Stegostoma tigrinum: one gene and its partner. The protein of the gene in region 1 purifies or fractionates together with the protein of each later gene. This does not show direct contact. Links are inferred from orthologs where the notes say so. Each region holds a gene or a part of one and is shown on either strand. Other genes may lie near its edges.

Region 1 (3,750 bases):
TGCTGTTCCTGCAACCTTCGGGTGGCATCATTGTGGCAGTGCAGGAGGCCCATGATGGATATGTCATCGAGAGAATGGGAGGGGGAGTGGAAATGGTTTGCGACTGGGAGGTGCAGTTGTTTGTTGCGAACTGAGAGGAGGTGTTCTGCAAAGCGGTCTCCAAGCCTCTGCTTGGTTTCCCCAATGTAGAGGAGGCCACACCGGGTACAGTGGATGCAGTATACCACATTGGCAGATGTGCAGGTGAACCTCTGCTTAATGTGGAATGTCACAAGGGAGAACACGCATCATCCTCCGAAACTTCCGCCATTTACAATCCGACCCCACCACCCAAGACATTTTTCCATCCCCACCCCTGTCTGCTTTCCGGAGAGACCACTCTCTCCGTGACTCCCTTGTTCGCTCCACACTGCCCTCCAACCCCACCACACCCGGCACCTTCCCCTGCAACCGCAGGAAATGCTACACTTGCCCCCACACCTATCCCAGGCCCCAAGATGACATTCCACATTAAGCAGAGGTTCACCTGCACATCTGCCAATTGGTATACTGCATCCACTGTACCCGGTGTGGCTTCCTCTACATTTGGGAAACCAAGCAGAGGCTTGGGGACCGCTTTGCAGAACACCTCCGCTCAGTTCGCAACAAAAACTGCACCTCCCAGTCGCAAACCATTTCCACTTCCCCTCCCATTCTCTAGATGACATGTCCGTCATGGGCCTCCTGCACTGCCACAATGATGCCACCCGAAGGTTGCAGGAACAGCAACTCATATTCCGCCTGGGAACCCTGCAGCCTAATGGTATCAATGTGGACTTCACCAGTTTCAAAATCTCCCCTTCCCCTACTGCATCCCTAAACCAGCCCAGTTCGTCCCCTCCCCCCACTGCACCACACAACCAGCCCAGCTCTTCCCCCCCACCCACTGCATCCCAAAACCAGTCCAACCTGTCTCTGCCTCCCTAACCGGTTCTTCCTCTCACCCATCCCTTCCTCCCACCCCAAGCCGCACCCCCATCTACCTACTAACCTCATCCCACCTCCTTGACCTGTCCCTCTTCCCTGGACTGACCTGTCCCTCTTCCCTGGACTGACCTATCCCCTCCCTACCTCCCCACCTATACTCTCTCCACCTATCTTCTTTACTCTCCATCTTCGGTCCGCCTCCCCCTCTCTCCCTATTTATTCCAGTTCCCTCTCCCCATCCCCCTCTCTGATGAAGGGTCTAGGCCCGAAACGTCAGCTTTTGTGCTCCTGAGATGCTGCTTGGCCTGCTGTGTTCATCCAGCCTCACATTTTATTATCTTATGATAGACATGGCCTCAGTTTACACCTCCGACAGTACAGCGTCTCCTCGGTGTTGCTATCGAGTTTTAGCCTTGTGTTTTGTGTTAAAATTCTGGAATGGCATTTAAGCCCAAATCTTTCTGACTCAGACATCTGAAAAATACCAAATGCGCCCCACAGCTAACATAAGATTGCAAATTTCTCCCATGTACACCAGTCACTTACGATTCTTTGCTAAATAACCCACCATCACCGGCAAGTTCGACGGTAACTGTCAACAAGGGAGGGTTAAGAGAGCCCGAGCTGTTCTACATTATGTGTTGAAATAAACAGAAACGGAAATCTCAGCCTTGTGGTCACACAGAAACCCAGGCGCCCCGTCAGAGTTGCTGAACACGGTGAGAAATCTGAATAACTGGGAAACCTTTTTACTGCCACCCCGGTTAGGGTCAGAGAAATCACCGCTGGGAGAGGGGAGGGGGAGGCAAACCTGGGACTGTCTGGTCATTCTTGTCGGTTGGGATCAATTCCTCCACACAGACGCACTCATAAGAACGTCCTTCAAGAGAGTTCCCTGGCTCAATGCTCCCTTCCTCACAAACAGCTCTATACTAGTTACAGGGCGAGGAAAGGGAGCGGGGAGGTGGGGGTGGTGGGACTGGGGAGAGAAGGGGCTGATCTCCCCGGATCAAGGGAAAGGGGGGAACCGGCAGAAACACTGGACTGGACAGCGCTGGGTTGGGCTCTTACCCACCGGGGTTGGCTGCTTCCGAGGCCCGGCCGCATTTCCAGGCGGATCCCTCCCCCTCAAGGCTCAGAGCCTAGCCTGCCTACCAGCACCAACAAAGACCGGGAGATCAGTGTACAGCGGATCCTACCTGTTCGGGACGGTCACTCAACCCCACCTACCCTGACGGTACCACCTCGGCCTCTGACCCTACGCCGGCCCCGCCCCCTTGATCCGCTGACCTTACCCACCCCGCACCGCACCTGGCTGCCTGGCGCGTGCGTAGATTGTCGCTGGCGGCCGAAGAAGGGCCTTCCCTGTCGATATATTGTATCAGATCTGCCCTGTCCTTGAAGGCAAAGGGGAAGCAGTATGTTTCTGGGGTAAAATTTAAGTTAAAAAAGTGACTTGCGTTGGCGTAGGGCTTTTCATGACTTCCAAACTTGACAGCTGATGAAGGGCTTCTGAAACGCAGTCAACACTCGCAATACCGGAAGTGCAGCAGCCACCTTTGTACAAACTCTACAAACACCAACTTTCTAATGACCACCCAGTCTGATGTCGTGATGTTCATTGCGAAATAAATATTGGCCAAGGAAAAAGAGATAACCTCCGCGGACTTTGTCAAAATAGTGCTGTGAGGTCTTTTACATGTACCAGAGGCAGATGGACTCTCAGGCATCTCAACCAACAAGAGTGCTAGAAGTGCAAGATTTTATCAGACCTTCAAGAAGATCCAGCCTTGGTGTATCTACTAAGTTCCTGGAGTGCGATATATCACAGAATACTGAGCTGCTTTAGTGCAGAAGGAAGCCATTCAAGTGATTGGGTTTGCACAGGCCCTCTGGGCTGTTTGACTTAATGCCAATCTCCTACCCTTTCCTCATAAGTCTGCACATTGTTCCCACTTAAATAATCACTTAATACCCTCATGAATGCCTCCATTGAACGTGCTTCCATCACACTTCCAGGTAGTACATTCTAGACGTGAACCACTTGCTCTGTGAAAATGTTTCCTTTCACCTCATGTTTGCCCCTTTGCCAAAACAGTTAAAATGTCTGCCCTTTTCATCCTCTTTTACAAGGTGAAACAGCTTCTCCCTAACTACTCTGTTGAGAGCTTTCCTGATCTTGAAAACTTCTTTCAGATCTCTGCTGAGTGTCTTCCCTCCAAGGAAAATAGTCCAAACTTTTCAAATCTATCACCATTGCTGAGCATTCTCATCCTCATAACCATTCTTGTAAACCTTTTCTGTACTCTTTCTGATATATTCGCGTGCATCCTGATGTATGGCACCCAGACTGTGCATTATTCCCTAGCTGAGTTCCAACTAATGTCTTAAATGAGTTCAGCATAACATCCTTGCTCTTGTGGTTTGTGCACCTATTAATAAAGCCAGGGATACTATATGCTGTATTAACCTCACTCCTCACCTGCTTTCTTGCTTTTAATGAATTATGCACCTATATACCCAGGTCTCTCTGCTCCTGCACTCCCTTTAGAATAGTATCTGTTTTTTACTCTGTCTGTCCCCTTTATATCTGCATGTTCACCTCACAATTCTGCAAATTGAACTTCAACTGCCATTGATACAACCACTACACCAACTTGTCAAAATCCTTTGAAGTTTTATACTGCCATCCACACAGTTTACAATACTTCAAAATTTTTTTATAATTTGCAAAATTTAAAATTATCCCCTGTCAAAAGATTTCACATATATTGAGAAAATGTA
Region 2 (3,750 bases), on another chromosome or scaffold:
CCCAGATGTGCACACAGCAATCCTCGAGTGGAGAAGCACACATACTGAGGGCTTGGAAAGTAGTCCAGTGCAAAGACTAAAGTCAATCCACACCCAAATTACTGTTCCAAAAGCAAAAAAAAAAAATGGAAGCCAGAAATAGTAACAGGTGTGAGTGAAAAAGCACGATCAACTGGCAGAAAACCAAATTTTATTTTGCCAAGACTGTTAAAACATTGCAAGATCCAGTCAGGGTACAAATATTCAACAAAAGCCAGCCCAAGTGGCAACTTGAAACCAGCATGGAGCAGATATAACCCACTTCACAGGTGGTGGAAGTGAGCTGCCAGATATACTGTTGCAACCACAGGCACGTACACTTGGCTGAGAAGCTGTTCCAATACTGCAGGCAGCTGATTGGGAAGAGATGAAGCACCACCTACACATCAACCATCAGATACTGAGGTCCACAGCAACACAAAAACAGAAACAGCACAACAACTACTGCAGCAATCCAAATAACACTTCCTGCCGAAGGGACATCACGGAGAATGAACTGCCAATTATGACAGCATGTGCACATACCATGGAGAGACTAGCATGATTTCAGGACTATGTATCCAATGCATACACAGAGACTGGTGAAAATAATGAAGTGCTAAGGCATGAGAATATTACTGTATATAGTTGGTGATTTGGTTATCTAAAACTACCTGCGTGACAATACATACCTTTTTTGTAGAACAATAAGAGGGTAATTGGATTGAAATGCAACCATATATAAATGTCTGTCCTAGTGTGCTATTGTCATGTGACTTCTAAGATGAGGCAATCAGCCTAGAGGCAGACATCTTAAGTTTCACTTCAATAAAGACTTTGTGTTGAACACCATGCTGCTCAGTCCAGACCAAATATCCAGCGTCTGCACTATTGGTACCTTAGTTTTAAGACTCTGTGGAGACCAGGATGTTCTACTAGTTATAGTTGTACTCAAAGTCCTCTATTAGAAATATTCAGAGCAGCACTCCTTACATGAAGAGTTTTATTTTTGTTATAAATTCTGTACCTACAAAGAGACAATGAGAAACATAGAATAAAGTACATGAGAAAAAAGTGAAAGATAGTGAAAGAAAGGTCAGAACAGAGAACATATTAATGTCACTTTAATGTCCCTGGGGCCTATGTATATTTGTGTTTATGTTTCTGCTATAATTTATGTTTATAATTGAGAATTTCACCCTTATCAAATTTAACAGCTATGACTTTCAACAGATATTTCTGAGAGACCCACATGGCCTACAGGAAGTTGGGCTCATCATAAAGAAACAAACATTCACCCCTCTTACTTCCCTCTCCCTATACGATAACTTCACCTTGTTCTGAGGTGCTGGATCATACACATGGAATGGTCCTAAATTCCTCAGCTTCCTGGGCTGATCCAACCTGTCTCAGCTGGCATTGTTTTGGAGTAGGGAGGCAATCTGAGTGGTACCAATGTCCCCAGGGTGGTAACGAAAAACATATTATCCACAGAGCCTGATCCTGATCACTAATAATTCCTGCGGGAAAATATGTGGGAAATTTGGGTGAAAACAGATTCAGGATTAAATGTGATCCTGTAGTGATGAAACAACCTGACACCTGGAATGGGGTCATTTGGACAACCATGAAGGGCTATTTTTGATAGTGGGGTCACACCCAGTGTAAAGCAGCAACTTCAGGAAAAGGGGAAAGCAAAGAGGGGCAAATCTGGACAAAGATTACAATTTTGAATCCAAAAGCCAATGCAACAGTAATTTGTTGTGTTTGATATTTATTGCATTATACTGGGAGTAATGCAAATTGTGATTCAGTTGGTATAACAGCAAAACAATAAAGAGCCATTAATGCTTTGGTGAGGGAGGGGTACCCAAAGTAGTAGCCCATATGCAAAACACCACATTTTCTCAGCTAGGCCTTTGCTGAATGGATTTTTATAACAAATCATCGAATATTTTGAGCAAGGTCCTTTTACAAATTTTACGACAATTCTCTTCATACGTGTAAATACCTGTGGAAAAATATGTTTTGCTGAACCTGGAGGAAAACTAAAGTAGGCCCAAAATCTCCAGTCTTTTCGGATTACAGTACAATTATGCTTCCTAGGTTCTCCACCTCTTGCTTTGCACTTTTCGTAAAAGCTTCTATACGCAGTATATTTATATACCTTATTTATAAGTCATCAGTATACTTGTATTAAAAAATATAGATATGAACATAAATTAGAAATTTGGACTTAAAAGCCCAAAGCTTACCATTGTTGTTTGTGAACTTCTCCTGCCTTTGCCGATAAGTGAAGTGGAAGACAAAATGTTGAACCAGCTGGTTAATATTTAACAACTGGATTACAAAATTATCATCGAACGCAAGCCTGTAAGCAGAGCCGATGCAAGATTATTTCCCCTCCTCCTTTCACTGAAGCTAGCAGAACATAGGTACAGGTGTTGCCTGTTACAGAGTGAAACCATAGCAACAGGTGAGGTGCTTCCTGTTCTGCAGGTGTTTACAACACCTGATAGGTTTCTGAACAGGTGTACTTCCTGATTCCCTCCCTCAGAAATATGGCTTTTCCTGGTATTCCTGGCAGTGGTACAGCTAATTCAAAACTTTTTAAAAATACTGTTATGATTTTCACTTACCATCTGCAAAACCTGTTCAAAATTGCCAGTAACATTATGTGGAGGTTATACAGGATATTGGTGAGGCCTCTTCTGGAATACAGCGTCCAGTTCTGGACACTCAGTTATGGGAAGGATATTATCAAGCTGAAGTGTTCAGGAGAGATTTGCCAGGATGTTGCCAGTGATGGAAGGTTTGAATTACAAGGAAAGGTTGGACAGGCTTCGACACTTTTCATTGGAGCATATGAAGTTGAGAGGTGACCTGACAGAAGTTCATAAAACAATGAGAGGTGACGATTGAGTTGATGGTACTTGTCTTTTCCCTAAGATTGAGAATTTCAAAGTAAGGGGGCACATTTTAAAGGTGAGAGGAGAGAGATATAAAAAAGACATAAGAAGCAAATTTTTCACACAGCGGGTGGTTTGCGTGAGGAATGAACTTCCTGATGAAGTAGTGGATGTGGGTACAATTACAATGTTTAAACGACATTTGGATGGATATATGAATAGGAAATGTTTGGAGGGATATGGGCCAGGAGCAGGCAGGTGGGGATTATATTTGGCATGGACTGGTTGGACTGAAGGATCTGTTTTCAGGCTGTATAACTCCGTGACTCCATAAATACCCACATTCTTATAGCAATGGAACCATGCCTTTCCCGTGGCATTAAGTACTCCTGACATTTCTCAGTTCTGACCTCTCCATCTTGACCACCAACATTGCTTCAGACAAGCTCATTGCAAATGTAGAAACAATGGAGCTTTATTCCACAAAGTCTTAGCTTCTATCAAAAGCCTTGACTGCCACCAACGCAAATGGAAATTTCTACAGGCACACTACAGGCAATTTTTCAATTGCTAAGTACAAACGGGCTGGGGTTGTGGTGGTGATGGTAATATAGATGATTTTTCCCAGGCAAAGGGCCATTGGTTTTGGACAAGTCTGGGAACTGAATCCCCTAAAAGTGACACTGAATTGGATAGGGCTCCTGACATCATCCCATCCTTCTGCAACTTTCACAAGGCTATGACTGAAGATGAGCAAGGAATATCTGTGCAGCTATAATTAAAACATTCAAATTGCTCATGGTGTATATCTGGAATCTTCAGT

Evidence for each region.
Region 2: the proteins of syntaxin-7-like (region 1) and si:ch73-234b20.5 purify together in Homo sapiens (affinity purification with mass spectrometry; 7 studies listed by BioGRID and IntAct, counting the BioPlex papers as one, with this or other methods). This does not show direct contact. The link is inferred for Stegostoma tigrinum from reciprocal best matches to the Homo sapiens genes STX7 and VAMP8.

What each region holds. Positions count from the first base shown.
Region 1 is NC_081357.1:71,869,598-71,873,347, forward strand, and holds the start of syntaxin-7-like, read right to left. Parts: upstream 2,530-3,750; 5' UTR 2,427-2,529; intron 2,250-2,426; exon of another isoform or gene 2,166-2,249; intron 2,144-2,165; exon of another isoform or gene 2,042-2,143; intron 1,901-2,041; exon of another isoform or gene 1,778-1,900; intron 1,535-1,777; exon of another isoform or gene 1,513-1,534; intron 1-1,512. UniProt on the Homo sapiens protein: May be involved in protein trafficking from the plasma membrane to the early endosome (EE) as well as in homotypic fusion of endocytic organelles. Mediates the endocytic trafficking from early endosomes to late endosomes and lysosomes.
Region 2 is NC_081354.1:77,937,346-77,941,095, forward strand, and holds the start of si:ch73-234b20.5 (vesicle-associated membrane protein 8), read right to left. Parts: upstream 2,432-3,750; 5' UTR 2,277-2,431; coding exon 2,274-2,276; intron 1-2,273. UniProt on the Homo sapiens protein: SNAREs, soluble N-ethylmaleimide-sensitive factor-attachment protein receptors, are essential proteins for fusion of cellular membranes.